Oryzias latipes: one gene and its partners. The protein of the gene in region 3 interacts with the protein of the main gene of each other region in a pairwise test. Links are inferred from orthologs where the notes say so. Each region holds a gene or a part of one and is shown on either strand. Other genes may lie near its edges.

What was found.
Region 1: the proteins of mcmbp (region 3) and asl interact in binary tests that used the Homo sapiens proteins (3 or more experiments, as listed by UniProt). The two-hybrid records come from large-scale screens. The link is inferred for Oryzias latipes from reciprocal best matches to the Homo sapiens genes MCMBP and ASL.
Region 2: the proteins of mcmbp (region 3) and phosphoribosyltransferase domain-containing protein 1 interact in binary tests that used the Homo sapiens proteins (3 or more experiments, as listed by UniProt). The two-hybrid records come from large-scale screens. The link is inferred for Oryzias latipes from reciprocal best matches to the Homo sapiens genes MCMBP and PRTFDC1.

The regions. Positions count from the first base shown.
Region 1 is NC_019872.2:8,458,139-8,463,216, reverse strand, and holds the start of asl (argininosuccinate lyase), read right to left. Parts: upstream 3,564-5,078; 5' UTR 3,421-3,563; coding exon 3,406-3,420; intron 3,184-3,405; coding exon 2,989-3,183; intron 1,423-2,988; coding exon 1,339-1,422; intron 1,125-1,338; coding exon 1,068-1,124; intron 963-1,067; coding exon 865-962; intron 772-864; coding exon 694-771; intron 612-693; coding exon 534-611; intron 449-533; coding exon 396-448; intron 302-395; coding exon 239-301; intron 127-238; coding exon 12-126; intron 1-11.
Region 2 is NC_019875.2:25,189,134-25,194,388, forward strand, and holds the start of phosphoribosyltransferase domain-containing protein 1, read left to right. Parts: upstream 1-1,692; 5' UTR 1,693-1,852; coding exon 1,853-1,900; intron 1,901-2,071; coding exon 2,072-2,178; intron 2,179-4,242; coding exon 4,243-4,426; intron 4,427-4,776; coding exon 4,777-4,842; intron 4,843-5,255. UniProt on the Homo sapiens protein: Has low, barely detectable phosphoribosyltransferase activity (in vitro). Binds GMP, IMP and alpha-D-5-phosphoribosyl 1-pyrophosphate (PRPP). Is not expected to contribute to purine metabolism or GMP salvage.
Region 3 is NC_019873.2:29,883,973-29,888,992, forward strand, and holds the start of mcmbp (mini-chromosome maintenance complex-binding protein), read right to left. Parts: upstream 3,390-5,020; 5' UTR 3,237-3,389; coding exon 3,179-3,236; intron 2,541-3,178; coding exon 2,449-2,540; intron 2,380-2,448; coding exon 2,239-2,379; intron 2,157-2,238; coding exon 2,115-2,156; intron 2,042-2,114; coding exon 1,952-2,041; intron 1,877-1,951; coding exon 1,753-1,876; intron 1,675-1,752; coding exon 1,529-1,674; intron 1,460-1,528; coding exon 1,362-1,459; intron 1,291-1,361; coding exon 1,118-1,290; intron 1-1,117. Other genes in the region: sec23ip (SEC23-interacting protein), read left to right, coding at 3,803-3,935, 4,495-5,003. UniProt on the Homo sapiens protein: Associated component of the MCM complex that acts as a regulator of DNA replication.

The sequences.
Region 1 (5,078 bases), on a different chromosome or scaffold from region 3:
CATAAACTGACCTGTAGGCATCAGAGAGCGTAACAAAGGAGAACTCTTTAGTGCTGTACAGCATGAGGTCCTCAGCCATTTTACTGAGGTGTGTCAAACACAATGAAGCCCAGAACAAAAACTCCACTAAAACAAGGAAAAAACACAACTTTAAACTCAATGATACTTTTAGTGTGAAATACTTGTAGTATTTTTATTCCACATATTAACAACTGACTAATAAGGATCATTTGTATACCAACAAAGTCTCTCTGGCCTGTGGCGTCCATGCTGTTCAGACTGATTGCATCAAATCCCAGCTCTGCAATTTAAAAAACAAGAACATTTTGTATTTCTTCTCATTAGTTCTAAAGAAATAAGCAGCAATTAAACATAAAAAACACAGCAGCCTTGACCTTTCCGAAGAAGCTCCCTGTCAATGTCAAGCGGCGTCCCTGCAATCGCACCACTGAAAGAAAAAGAAATAGTTTTTTTTGTTACTTGAGTATGTCAGCGGATCAAAACTGCTGTCAGAAATCGCGTTCACAGCGTGCCTGCCCAGAGGTAAGACATTAACTCTTTTCTTGATCTCCAGTAACCGGTCCACATCTCTGCTCAGAGCGACAGAATGACTGTGGAAACACGTACCAAAGAATTTAATTAATTAAAATAGTTTTAAAAAAAAGGGCGTGTAGATGTAGACTTCAGAGTCACCTTAGAATCCAGTGGCTCCATCGGATTGGTTGAGCCCTCTGCATGTGGGTGTATCCGGGGAAAAGAACCTCGATTTCCCTGTGATGGAACCAGGAAATGCAGGTTAACACCAACAGTTTCAGTAATAATATACAGAAGATGAGTTTCCATTTGCGAGTCGGTCTTAGTTACACGGATGCCCGCTCCACCATGGTCGAGATGAGCTGGAGAGAATTTTCTGTCAGGGTGGTGATGGCGTCTCGCATCCAGAGTCTCATATCAGTCACCACCTGGTCCACCAGAACACAAAGTGCAACTCTAAAGCTTTTCTATGAATTTATATGCTAAACAAACCTAAAAGGTACAATAAAAACATGAATAAACTAAAATAAAACCTGATCATTTCTGCTTCTGCCTGTGTGAAGTTTTCCTGCAGGGGCACCAATGAGCTCCTGAAAAAAAAGGGCAACAGCATAATTAATATTGTACACATTTCATAAAGCAAACGTCATAAAGTAACGTTTACATTGAAAACATGGGTTTTTAGTTTAACAAACATCCAGACTTTCGCTTAGACATTAGTGGAGTAACTCACAGCAGGCTGTGTAAAAGCTCAATGGCAGATGTGTGTGAACAGGATGTATGCAATGGACAGCTGCACATCACCTTCAACCGGCGTTCATTGGCAGTGTGAATGTCTTCATCTCCAGGTCTAATGACAAAGTTACCTTTAGACCACTCCTCTGAAATCTGCAGGGGGGGGGGGAAACATCAAAGATGGTCACTTTAAGTGGACTTTAACACAAAGCCTGTAATCAAAAAACAAATGTTTGGGTTTGAAGGGAAACAGTCTATGGAACTGTTCACTTGTCCAAACAGAACAGTAGGATGGAGATGACATGTTCAAACCTGCCCTGAATAAAACTGAAGCTGCAGCTGTCACATGATGACAGTATTGTCCACAACACACCCAGCAGAATGCAGGAATGCTACAACAGGGCATTTTTTACTGCGGTCATCTCCTAACCACCTGAGAGTATGCAGTGATGCACTAAACCAGTGTTTTTCAACCTGTGAGCCGTGAGAGATGGTTTTAACACAAAGCCTGGAAAAAACAAATGTTTGTGTTTAAAAGTTGAAGGGAAACAGTGTACTGAACTGCTGACTTGTAAAACAGAACAGTAGGCTGGAGAGGACATGTTGAAACCTGCCCTGGTTGAATCTGAAGGTGCTGCTGTCATAACGACACTCAGCAGAATGCAGGAATGCTACACCACGGCATTTTGACAGCTGTCATTGCCTAACCACCAGAGTATGCAGCGATGCACTAATGCACCTCATTTGAGTAATAAATGTGACAAACACAGGGAAATAACAATTCATTTTAACAACTATTTAATTCATATCATAATGTGCAATTGACGATACGATTCATAGTTAATATCGGTTCATTTTGAACAATCCAATTCACTGACCTAAAATCAATCTAGGGACGTCTTTAGCCAAAGATTCAACCAGTGGGACTCTGAGAAATAACTGGGTACTGAACAGTGCAGGTGAAGATTTCCAGATTTAGTGAATTTCTTACAAGATAATCAAGTCTAAATTAAATATGTGAACTAACAGACAGATAAACACATTAATCAATTCACATTTTAGTTTCACAAAGTCACTGTTGTTTTTCCACATGATAAAGTCATGATACCACACTGTATGGTCACATGTCTCACATGTCTCACTGTTTTCACACATTGGACTGGAATGATAGCTTGATCATTTTTTGATGTGTTGACCAGTGTAATGACAGTCATTTTACCTTAAAGTAAAAATAAACCTACCACGCCTCAGTCCAAATGTTACTCTCCAAGATCGATTAAAAATCTGTTTATTTCATTTCGAAATTATTTTTAACGTAAAGTCGATTTGATTAATAAGTTAATTAAGATAGATCAATCTGGCTGGATAAAATGACAAATCGGTTAATTGTTAGTAAACTAAAGAAATTGCCAGAATGTCATCCAAATAGGTCCTGTTTTCACACCGAGTAGGTGGATATAAAAAAAGACTGATTTATTTCTGTTTATTTGATTCTTATTCAAGACGCTTTGACAAAACATAACTTTGATTTTATTTCATTTTTACATATTTAATTGGTAATGTGCCTTGTGATTTTTATCAAGGAAAAAGTGCCCTGTCTGGCTCAAAGAGAGAGAATAACGCTGCACTACAACCACAACTGAATGAATGAATGAATGAATCCTCAGGACCGGTTGATTCAGTGATGGAGCCAGCAGCAACAACAACAGACTACTTCACCTGATCCATCCCACGTAAGATCTGCTCCTTTTCCTCACTGCTGACCAGCTGCGCTTTTTCCAGCGCTTTGACATAAGCTTTGCTTCCTCTGATATCTGCGTCCCACATCCTCTGATCGTAACCGATGGAAGCGTTGAACTTCTCCATGATTGGGTCCGTGTCTCCAACGAAACGGCCTCCCCAAAGTTTGTTTCCCTTCAAGACAAACGCGACAAATTAACACAATGACTGCACACTAAACCCGTTCATGTTACTTTAGGCGGTTAATTCTTAGCCACAGAAACGGATTTCGGCAAAGGAGAACCAGGTTGATCGTTTGTTATGTTAGCAAACAGCTGAGCTGCTGGTTAAACAGCAATGAACATACGGGAAATGTAAAATAAAAAAGGAAGATATAACGTTTTCAATTGCACCTACCTCACTATTGGACATTTTATAAATCGGCAGGTGTCCTGTTGTAGAGGAAAGTAAACAGTCAAAACTGTAGCGTCAGCAGTGCGAACAACCAGGGTTAACTGAGGCTACAAGCGTCTCTTTGAGGAGCGCCTCGAGTCGAGGACACGTAAATCTTCCTCTGTTGCTATGCAGAATGTCGTCACAAATCAGGGCATGTGTTTCCGGTTTAACCAAAATAAATTTTCTTAAAATTATTATTATTATTATTATTATTATTATTATTATTATTATTATTATTATTATTATTATTATTATTATCGTTGTTGTTGCTTGACTATTGTCGTCTTCTATTATCAGTTTGCATCAGTTTTTTATTTGGTTATTGATAAGTAAAATCCTTTTCTTGAATACATGTCATATACTTTATTTTTTTAAAGATTTAGTTTTTATTAAAATAGATTTGAATTAAAAATGAACACATTTACCAAACCTCAGCTCATTTTTCATACAGTGTTTAGACAGACTTCTTCAAACTCCAAATACTTTGTTTTTTAATGGATTAGACAAATAACATCTTTGACAGTAAAATCTAAATATTGGTGAAGGTTGACATCTATATAAAAAAAAACGCCCTTCTCACCCTCCGCGGGTGGTTTATCCTCCAAGCTCGGGTCCTCTGCCAGAGGCCTGGGAGCTTGAGGGTCCTGCAGTATCTTAGCTGTTCCTAGCACTGTGCTTTTCTGGACTGAGAGGTCTGAGGTCTTTCCAGGTATCTGTTGTAGCTACTCCTCCAGCTTGGGGGTTACTGCCCCGAGTGCTCCAATTACTACAGGCACCACTGTCACCTTCACTTTCCATGCTTTCTCCAGTTCTTCTCTGAGTCCCTGGTATTTCTCCAGTTTCTCAGGTTCCTTCTTCCTGATGTTCCCATCGCTTGGTACTGCCACATCCACCCCAACGGCTTTCCTCTGTTCTTTATCCACCACTACAATGTCTGGTTGGTTCGCCGTTACCATCCTATCAGTCTGGACCTGGAAGTCCCACAGGATCTTTGCCCTCTCATTCTCTACCACCTTCGGAGGTGTTTCCCATTTTGACCTTGGGGTTTCCAGTTCATATTCTGCACACATGTTCCTGTATATTATTACCTGCAGGAATAATAAGATGGCCAAAGGAAGAGATACAGACCACGGATGTTAAATCACGAAAGCTCCTCACCATGCTTGGAGGGTTCCATCCCAAATCCAGCACCCTGTGACTGTATGCTAGCCGAGGAGGCCGAAGACTAGTGAGTGTAGAAGCCAATATCCAGGATGAAACATCCAAGATGCATGAGTACATCAAGCTCAAGGCCCCAACTGACAGTGTGCTCAGTGAATGTCTCAGGCAATGGAGAGCAGAGGATACAGTGCTGGAGGACAGATTCTCCTGGGAGGACAAACCCCTGCATGGGATGTACCACCGGACCATAACTGAAGTGGCTGATATCTAGAAGTCCTACCAATGGCTAGAAAGGGCTGGCCTATAGGACAGCACTGAAGCACTCATCCTGGCAGCCCAGGAACAAGCCCTGAGCACCAGAGCAATAGAGGCTGAGATCTACCAAACCAGACAAGTCCCAAGGTGTAGGCTGTGAAAAGAGGCACCTGAAACAATCCAGCACATAACTGCAGGGTGTAAGATGCTGGCAGGGA
Region 2 (5,255 bases), on a different chromosome or scaffold from region 3:
AGAATTTCCTTCTGGGGGACAAAACGACCTAAATCACGCCAAGCAAATCTGAAAGTTAAAAAGCAACTTAATATTAATGATTTTTACTAATTAAATGCAGCCTGTGATGTTTTGATTTACTGCTCCCAGAAGCACTCAAAAAAAATAGTTTTTTAGTGAGTCTTTTGGTGTTCTGGCTTTGCAAAGAACACCATCACATTGCACAGTGTGATGCAACAGCTAATGTTAATTAATATCAAGTCAGTAACATCAGCTGCATTTTACCATCTGAAAAACATTGCCAAAATCAAAAAGATAATGTCAAAGCCAGAACTGGAGATACTTGTTCATGCATTTGTCTCCAGTAGGTTAAACTACTGTGACGGCCTGCTCACCGGCCTCTCCAAACGAGCTGTAAAACAGCTTCAGTACATCCAGAATGCTGCTGCTCGAGTCCTGACATCTCTGACATGTTAGTGCCATATGAACCATCTCGTACTCTGAGGACCTCAGGGACCGGCCTCCTGTTGATTCCCAGAGTCAGAACTAAACAAGGGGAATCAGCGTTTCAATATTCTGCAGCTAAAATCTGGAACAGCCTCCCTGAAGTCGTAAGACAGGCCTCTTCTGTGTTCATGTTCAAATCTAGACTTAAAACATTTCTGTTTAGCCGTGTATATGACTGAAAGGTCCTATCTGCACTTTTCTTTCATTTCCTTCCTCTCTTTTTAAATCAATTTTCTATTTTTTTTTCTTTTCTTTTAAAGTAAATTTTACGTTGATGATTTCTATGATGTATTGTGATATTAATGTATTTTTCTGTTTTGTGAATCACCTTGAATTACTTTGGGTATGAATTGTGCTATACAAATAAACTTGCCTTGCCTTGTCTGAAGAAATACACAATTATTTTTACTTAAGGAGCCAGATTTGAATTAATTTTTAAGATTTATTTAGATCTAGGCAATAAAGCATAAATGTACTATTTTACATCTTCTGTACAACGGGAACATTTTTGTATAGTCCTTCTTTTTACATGCTGATGTAAATATTTTTAGTTTACATACAAGTGTAAATCCTACTAAAAAGTAAAAAGAAGGGACAACATATATAAATATAAATATATAAATATATATATATATATATATATATATTTTTTCTGAAGGTCACTATCCTCTGTGAACACCACCTTTTTTTGGTTGTTTGAATTCCTGAATGTCTTTTTTTTGCTGCTGAAGATAAGAGAATTTCCCCATTGTGGGATGAGTAAAGTCTATCTATCTATATTGAATCTATATAGATAGATAGATAGAATTTTATATTCAAAATTTCCAATATTAGGGAAGAATTTTGAAGACTTATGTCAAATTAAGAGCATCAAACCTGCTCAAAGATGATTCTATAGTTGTATTTGTTTAAAAACAACAGATTCTTTTACGTGTTTAAATTAATATTAAATACTAAAAAATTAAGAAGCAGATTGAAAAAAAACTGTTTGCAGACATGATGAAAACAATGTTAACATGGCATTCAAATAATAATAACAGGGGCACATTTTAAAAATTAGGTGATAAGAATTTAGTGCAGTAACTGTTTGTTTTTGGGGTCTTTTAAGAAAGAAATGTTTTTATTGTGTTAAGATAAGAAAGCGTGTTCTCTTGACTCGGCCGCTCCATTCTGAGGAATTGTGGTGTCACAGCGCCCCTGGTGGCCGCATGTGACACTGCAGAGGGGCAGGGACTCCCGGATGGTTTCACAATAGTGCTCCACATTCCCCCGCGCAGATCCTCCTCCCGACCAGGTCAAACCCCTCCGCACAGACTCGCAGCACTTTGGTTGAAACGAGAGCGGGTTTTTTTTCTTCTTCTTCAAAATGGCTGAAGTTTCTGTCCGGGCCGAGAGCAAAAGCGAGGGCATTGTGGTAATTTAACGAGAGGAAACGAAGAAGTGAATGAACGCGTTTGCGCAGTTTTGCAGGGGGTGGCGCCACGTGTAGACTGTAGAAGTTTGCACCTTTAAAAAACTAAAAATACAGTAAACTTGCAAAGATGCAGACTGAAGATCTAATGCTTTCTGCTGCGTTTCCTCTCAGATTCACGACGACTGGCCAGGTTACAGCCTGGACCTCTTCAGCTACCCAGCGCACTACTACGGAGACTTGGACTGCGTCATCATTCCGCATGGCGTCATCATGGATAGGTACAAAACTCTGGAGGCCTGTCAGATGACCTCCCAGATGTTTGGCCTTCTGTGAGGTTACATCATAGCTCCATGTGTCTTCCAAAGATTTTATAGGATGCCATCTAATTCCTGTGTAGTAAAATGCACCAAAAGTAAAGTTTGTTTTATGTAGATCACCTTTACAATAATCCTTAAACTGTTGTAGATTTTCTTTTTCCATAGGGCAGCATTTAAAATGAACATGCATGTGTGGGATGGCACTGCCAGACAAGTTTTCACATATGATTTGAAGGGAACAGCCCTGCTCCTCATTCCACACATGCATGTTCCTAATGTGACACCAATTCCAAAAGAAATAAACTGTTTTTCCAACAGTTTAAACAACCACTCCAAAAAAAAAAAAAAGTGTTTTTAACATGTTCAACAGCATTTTTCTCCTGACGGAAGATGTAAGCTTAAAATTGCATTTCTGAGTATTTCTTTATTCAAATCATTGTGTATCAGGAGCAAACAAAAATGCAGTTGTAAAAAGCTTGTAGGTGTGACGTAGGGCCTATGACAGCAAGCCACAAGCTCACATACTTCTGCTCCATTCTAAAGCATCCACTTGAAGACAAATAGATCCATGCACGTCTTTGTTCTCCTTGTCTGAGCTGGAATCTGGTACAAAAACTGCACGGCTGCAATAGTGCTCTGCATTTCTGTTGGACTGAAAATGTTAGGATGGGGTTGTGAGGGGCTGTAAGCCAGTGGGAGAGAGTGTAAACAAAAGGGATGGTGGGAAAAGGGTAGGCCTGCTTTGTGCCAGTGGTCACTCAGAAGTAAACTTCACATGAACTACTGCTGCTCTGCAGAAACTATGTCCTAGATAACAAAAGACGTTTTTTTTTATTTATGATTTTAAAAAAAACAAGGGAACACTTTGAAAATAGATCAAAAGGGGATCAGAGGGGAACTTTAACGTTTTTAGGCTTTTAAAACAAAGAAATCTGTTAAAAGTAAAAGCTTACTCACTTTGTTTAGAAATAACCTGCTAGAATTCAGGATTGGGAAAGAAAAGTAAACCTTAAAGGTAGAGGAAGTTATTAAAAAAATCCTAATTACATTAGTTTACAATTTCTAAAATAAAAACTGCTATTAAAAAGTAGTTTTAGTTTAGATTCCTCACTTTTCACCACTCCATCCTCATTTTAGCTATAAACCTTTGCAAAAGGTAAAAAAAAAACGTACACTTGAGGTCTATTTTATGAAGTATACTTGTGTATAAGTATATCAAGTATAATGTTGAGTGTGTAGAAAGTATACTAACTGAATACTTTACAGACTAAATTTGAAAATTTTAATCACACAATAATTAAAATATATAAGTACCACTTTTAGAATAGACTACTTGTATTAGACTTAAAAATACTATTTTTTGTTAACAGAAATTACAATCTACCAAATATCTTTAACTTATTTGTGTGACAAATGAAATACTATAGAAATCAAAGTATGTCAAACAAAATTCAAGAGATGCTAATGTTTAATTTGTCTGCCATGCACAAACCTAATCTTAACTGCTACAGATGAGGTTTTTTTTTTCAAACGTGTCACATTTTGTAAAAAACACTTTGCAATAATGAGGAAATGTACAACAAAACAAGTAAATTTATTACTATTAGGAACTTTAGTGAAACTCTTTATTAATGGAATCATTATGTCTCCATTATGTCTTCTTAAACAATAAAATATCTAAAGAGGAAATGGTTATGAAACAAAATGGTCTCAGTTCCTAAAAATGGATTGGATTATTTTTCCCCTCTCACAATCTGTCTTCCCATAGATTTCTTTGTTCTGCCTGCATAAACCTAATTACATAAACTCTTGTGATGTACACTACTTCATAAAGTGCAAAAATGTGTTAAAAAAATAGATTTTTTTTTCCTGGCGCTCATGAAAAAATACAAAAGAAATTGGAATTTGAAAAACAAAAAACCTTTTTAAAAGGCTCTAAAGCCATTTGATGTCACATTTTTATGAAATAACCTGGACAGCTTTGGGAACTCCTGCTGCAGAGCCTCTTTGTTGTGTCGTTTCAAGGACGGAGCGCCTGGCTCGGAACATCATGGATGACCTGGGCGACCATGACATTGTGGTTCTGTGCGTGCTGAAAGGAGGTTACCAGTTCTGCGCCGACCTGGTGGACAGGATCAAAGCTCTCAGCTGCAACTCCGACCACACAATTCCCATGAGAGTTCACTTCATCCGCCTGAAGAGTTACCTGGTGAGCTTTCATCCTGCTGCAGGGCAGGAAGTGATGATGTTGACATCCAATGATCATGGGTTAAAAATGTGTGGGAGTGGCCTGCCGCTTTTCACGCATGTGGTTATCATCCATGGTGACTGTGAATCCCATGACCTAGCCAGATGACTGTAGTGTTATAGATACTACAGGGATATTTTTATACATTTTGACCTTGAATGAGTTGTTTTCCTGTGGTGGAGGAAACAGTATTACATAAGATTTTAGATGTAACATTTTTTTAAGTATACAAAGGCATTTGTTGTCTTTTTCTTTTTATCTTGCTGATGGTATTGCAACACTTCCTGAAATAAACATGTTTTTCTTCCCAGAATGACCAGTCAACTGAAGATCTTCACATTCTCGGAGCAGAAGATCTGTCTTTTTTATCTGGGAAGGTATTTTTTTCTATATATAAATCTAAAGATATATAACTTTTGTTTGAAGCAGACTGCCATGAGCTCCACAGTAACACATAGCCAGAGATCCCGGCTGTGTATGAGCTGACACTTCCGCCTCTAGAGGGCAGTCTTCTCTACAATCTGCCACGTCCTCTAACCTGTAGAAAAAAGCTAATTTCAGAGGCTGCTCTAACAGCAGTACCCGCTTACCATCTGCACTAATGGCATTATTTATAGCTTCATTCCAGTTTATCAGTCAGTGGATGGCGGATGAAGCGGGCCACAGCAGGGAGCGTGCTGCACTTTTGCTGCTTGTCTTGTTATCATGTAACCAGAGTCTGCGTCTATAAGAGCTGGCTGTTTACTAAGCACTAAGCAAGAGGGCATTATCTCCACAAGTGTGCCGTTGA
Region 3 (5,020 bases):
AGATGTGTAAGAGGTGGAGGAGGGGGGCAGACGTGTAAGGAGGGTGGAGAAGGAGGGGGCAGACGTGTAAGAGGTGGAGCGGGGGGGGGCAGACGTGTAAGGAGGGTGGAGCGGGGGGGGGGGCAGACGTGTAAGGAGGGTGGAGCAAGGGGGGGCAGATGTGTAAGAGGTGGAGCGGGGGGGACAGACGTGTAAGGAGGGTGGAGCGGGGGGGGCAGATGTGTAAGGAGGTGGAGCGGTGGGGGGCAGACGTGTAAGAGGTGGAGCGGGGGGGCAGACGTTAAGGAGGGTGGAGAAGGGGGGGCAGACGTGTAAGAGGTGGAGGGGGGGCAGACGTGTAAGGAGGGTGGAGCAGGGGGGGCAGATGTGTAAGAGGTGGAGCGGGGGGGGACAGACGTGTAAGGAGGGTGGAGCAGGGGGGCAGATGTGTAAGGAGGGTGGAGCAGGTGGGGGGCAGACGTGTAAGAGGTGGAGCGGGGGGGCAGATGTGTAAGAGGTGGAGCGGGGGGGCAGATGTATAGAGGTGGAGCAGGGGGGGCAGATGTATAGAGGTGGAGGAGGGGGGGCAGACGTGTAAGGAGGGTGGAGAGGAGGGGGCAGACGTGTAAGAGGTGGAGCGGGGGGGGCAGACGTGTAAGGAGGGTGGAGCGGGGGGGGGCAGACGTGTAAGGAGGTGGAGCAAGGGGGGCAGATGTGTAAGAGGTGGAGGGGGGGGGCAGACGTGTAAGGAGGGTGGAGCAGGGGGGGCAGATGTGTAAGGAGGGTGGAGCAGGTGGGGGCAGACGTGTAAGGAGGGTGGAGCAGGGGGGGCAGACGTGTAAGGAGGGTGGAGCAGGGGGGGGGGCAGACGTGTAAGGAGGGTGGAGCAGGGGGGGCAGATGTGTAAGAGGTGGAGCGGGGGGGGGGAGACGTGTAAGGAGGGTGGAGAAGGGGGGGGCAGACGTGTAAGGAGGGTGGAGCAGGGGGGGGGGCAGATGTCCTCCAGGTCAAACGTCTTGAGTTCCTGCGTGATGCTGATGAATTTCCACGGAAGCGACAGAATTTACTGGTTTTGGTGTTTCGGCGTTTTCTTCTAGTCTGGAATCATTTCTGTTTCTACAAAAACACGCGTCCTTACAGGCGCCGTTGTCGTCCGAGGTTGCGTGCGGCAGCAGCGGGTTGTTGTGTTGCAGCGGTTTGGCGTGGAGCACGTGAAGCCGGGGAACGAGCGAGGCCGGCGGGCTGTGCACACGCTGCTCCTCCGCCGTCTCCATGCCCTCCGTGGGGTCCAGGAAGGACGAGGAGGCGTCTCTGCGAGGAAGAAAGGCGGTGAGACGGGCAGCACGCAGACAGGGGGCGGGGCTACGAAGCGAGGGCCTCACCTCTCCTCCGCCAGGGCGCTGAGAGCGGGACTGACGGACAGGATCCCGAAAACCTCCAGGGCGTCGTTCAGCTTGAAGCTCTCCCAGTCTTCGTACACCTGCCAACGAGCACAGCCTGAGGATCAGGGTTCCCACCGGAGCCACCAACGCGCTCGTCCAGCTCCAACCTTCACCAGGCAGGCGGGGCCCCTCTCTCCTGGGAGGGGGAAGTTGAGGTCGAGGTGGGATGCGGACGCCGCCTGGGTGGGAGGAGCCTCCGTCTCTTGACGCTTACAGTCGGCGTTGCTCTGCAGGTCCGTTGGACCCTGAAGACCTGCAGAAATATTTGGAGAACGTTTGAGGGGGGAGGACGCCTAAGGTTCGACACCCAGCAGACGGCGAAGACAAACACCTGCGTGAGCTTGCTTCTGCGGCTGCGTGTCCATGTCCTCGTCCTCCTCGTAGCTGCGTTTCTGCCTGCTCGGCACGTAGGAGGTGGACGCCACCACGCGCGCCTGGCTGCTGCCCGCATATCCGTGCTCTCAGGTTAAGGAACAACACACAACTGTTCACACTGTCATCAGAGAACCTGATCCCTGATCCCAGGATATGTCCTTCACCCACAGGTTCTCCCCAGGAATGGGCACACAGTAGAAGGTCTGCCGCTCTGCCGTCACGGTGTTCTTGGAGTTAAAGTCCACCTGGGATTCAAACCAACAGCTGAGCTGAAGCGGCTGCACCACCTTTGAGGACAGCAGCAGGATGCAGACTCACCCCACATTCTGCCACATCCCTGTACTTCCCACAGTGCAGCATCTGGGGGTCAAACAGGACAAATGAGGGGGAGGGGGGTCAGCTGATGCTAGAGATGTGGGGGGGGGGGGGGGGGCACACTCACTTTAGCATCCGTGGGTCCGTCCACAGTCTCATACACTCCCATGTAGAACTCCGGGTCAAACATGTCCTGGATGAAGCAGCGAAACTTCACCAAACTGTTGGGCTTCAGGTAATGCAGGGGAACGTCGTTGAGAGACGGAACCTGGTCCAGAAAAGGACAAGGTCAGAACCGGACGGCCGGTGAAGACGCCGTCTGCAGGACTCTCCTCACCAAACTCTGAGCGCTCTTCTCCTTCAGCTGCTCCTTAAAAAACTCCACCACCTCCGCCTCCCACCCGGGGGAGGAACCCTTCTGCGCAGCCGCTGCAGCATCAAAGGAAGACGTCATTTCCGGCAGCAAATGAATGCTGCTGAAGGTTTAAACTACGGTTTGCATTTTATATTAACATGTGTGAATGTGTCATTTTATTCGATCGTTTAAAAAAAATGTTAAAATAACAAACACATTGGCATTAAAAATGAAATAAAGTAAATGTTTAATGAACTTCAAGATTGTTGGTTTCGTTCTTCATGAAGGAATTCGTCATCATCAGAGACTGTATATATGAAGTCACTTCAAAAGAACCAGTATGACAAAACAAAAACGTCTTTAGATCTAACAAAAAGTTGACGAACCCCGAACGACATTTCTACAGTCAGTAAAGGTTTCCGCGCGCCCGATTCTCGTCTATGTCCACCGACTGTGTCAATAAAGTTTTAAACTGATGCACCGCGGGCAGCGGCACCAGTGCGTCAGTTTCAGTGTCTTTGTGTGAAATGTAATAATAACCACCTGGTTTATTCCTTTCTTGTTGCTGTTTTGCATTGTTGTGTATTGAAATGTTACATTTAATAAAGTTTGTAAAGGAAAAAAAAAAAGCTCCATGTGAGGGCGGCTGGACGCGCGCGCGGCTAACGAGCTAGTCTGAGGCGTTAAGTGTTTGTGGAGGGAAGTTTCTCACCAAACTTCTCTTCAACAACACCGAGAGGTGCGTGAATCCAGTCCTGCGTGGAAAGCATCGCTAACCGGCCACTGAACCCGTGGAATCAAAGACAAACGTGCGAGGAAAACCCGCGCGGCTTCACTTCTCCGATAAGTTTTTCACTCACTCGGGATTGCAGAAGCGAGGCGCGAAATTTGCGTCACTGCGCACCAAGAGGGGGTTGGTTTGATTCGAGAACCGGAGTAAACCGGAGCGCGGAGCCACAAGCAACTTTTTGCTTTTGTTCACCGCCCTAAAAACTGGTTTGGATTCCGAAGTCGTTACAAATTAAGTAGAAATTTGTTATCTCTCACGAGATTTTACTTTGTTCTGACAAAAGAAGAAAAAAGGTGCAAAAAAAAAACCAAAGGAGTTTGAATCATCATCCGGGCCTCTAGATGGCAGCACCAAAAACATTGATCCCCTCGGGTCAAGCCAATCGGGTATGTTTCGAAGATTTATAAAACATCTGCTAAGATGTTTACTGAAATCTAGTGTCGCGTGAGTGTTGGAGATCGGGGAAAACTGTGACGTCAGGAGACGTTTCTTTCGCATTTACTGCCAGCCTGGTCCGGTTGTGGCTACGTGTAAATCCAGCTGAAAATGGCAGATAGAAAAAATAACAGTGGTCCCGACAGCAGCGCGAATTTACTCTTTAGTGCCGCTCCAGACTTTAGCTTTAACCTGCCTTTCATGCCGGTGAGTCAGGCGTCGGGCCCGGCGGTGCTGTCAGGAGGTGAGCGGAACCGCGGACGGAGGTCCGAATGTTGTCAGGGCGAGAGCTAGCTAGCTAAGCTAGCCGGTTAGCTAGCTGTGCTGCTTCAGCCTTTAAAAACCCTCAGATTGAGAGAAAAGATGAAAAAGTGACGCGTTTTATCTGCAACACTGGATCTGCTTTTGTTAAAAGAAAATGAGTCAGTTTAAACATTTTTAGTGAAGAGTTGTAAATGGATGAACTTTGTTCAGATTTAAAACAATGTTGTTGTTAAAATGCTGGAATCTGTCTTTTAGAGATTTATTTTATTTATATATTATACATGTATTTTAGTGAAGTCAACATGCTTATTGCCTGAAAACCACTCGATAACATCCTGTTTGATCGTTTCCACTTAGGAAAGGATCACACAGGATGTCATGGTGCTCATAAAAGTTTAGAATCATATGGAGAAAGCTGGAAATGTTGTGGACGGCGGTGAAGCTTCACTCCTGAAGTTTGATGTTTAGAGAAGCCTCACAGAAACCCTGACCTGCAGTTTCAGTGTCAGAAAACGTTGACCCGTCTTTGTGTCCATCAGAAGACTCTACTGACGTTGGAGAAGAAGACAGTTTCCTGGGTCAGACCTCGGCCAACGGTCCGCCGGCGGCCTCCTCCACCTTCAGCTACTTCTCCAACCCCGTAACGACCTCTGACCCCTTTGCCAGTATTGGTCAGTCACCATGCCCGCCAGCAGGACGCTCCTCGACCTTAACCGCTGCTGGACCCGTTTCTTTTCCCAGCAGCATCGCCATGTCTCCGCCATCCACAGCTTCACAAATGAACCCCCCTCCCTCAACGTTTGGCAGTGCTGTTTACCAGAGTCCGCTGGGACGACAGACTCCTCCCCCTACAACGATGACCCCGCCTCCTGCTCAGATGCAGCCGCAGCATCACAACCCGTACCGCCACACGGCGTCCAGCAGCAGAGCCAGTCCTTACATTCCAGCTCCAGAGATCCTGCCCCCACCTCACACACCCCAGCAGGCTCCGACCTCTTTCAGCCCCCCACCTCAGATGTTCTCCCCGCCAGGGTCCACGTTCCCCACGGTAAGTCCTGCTGGGAG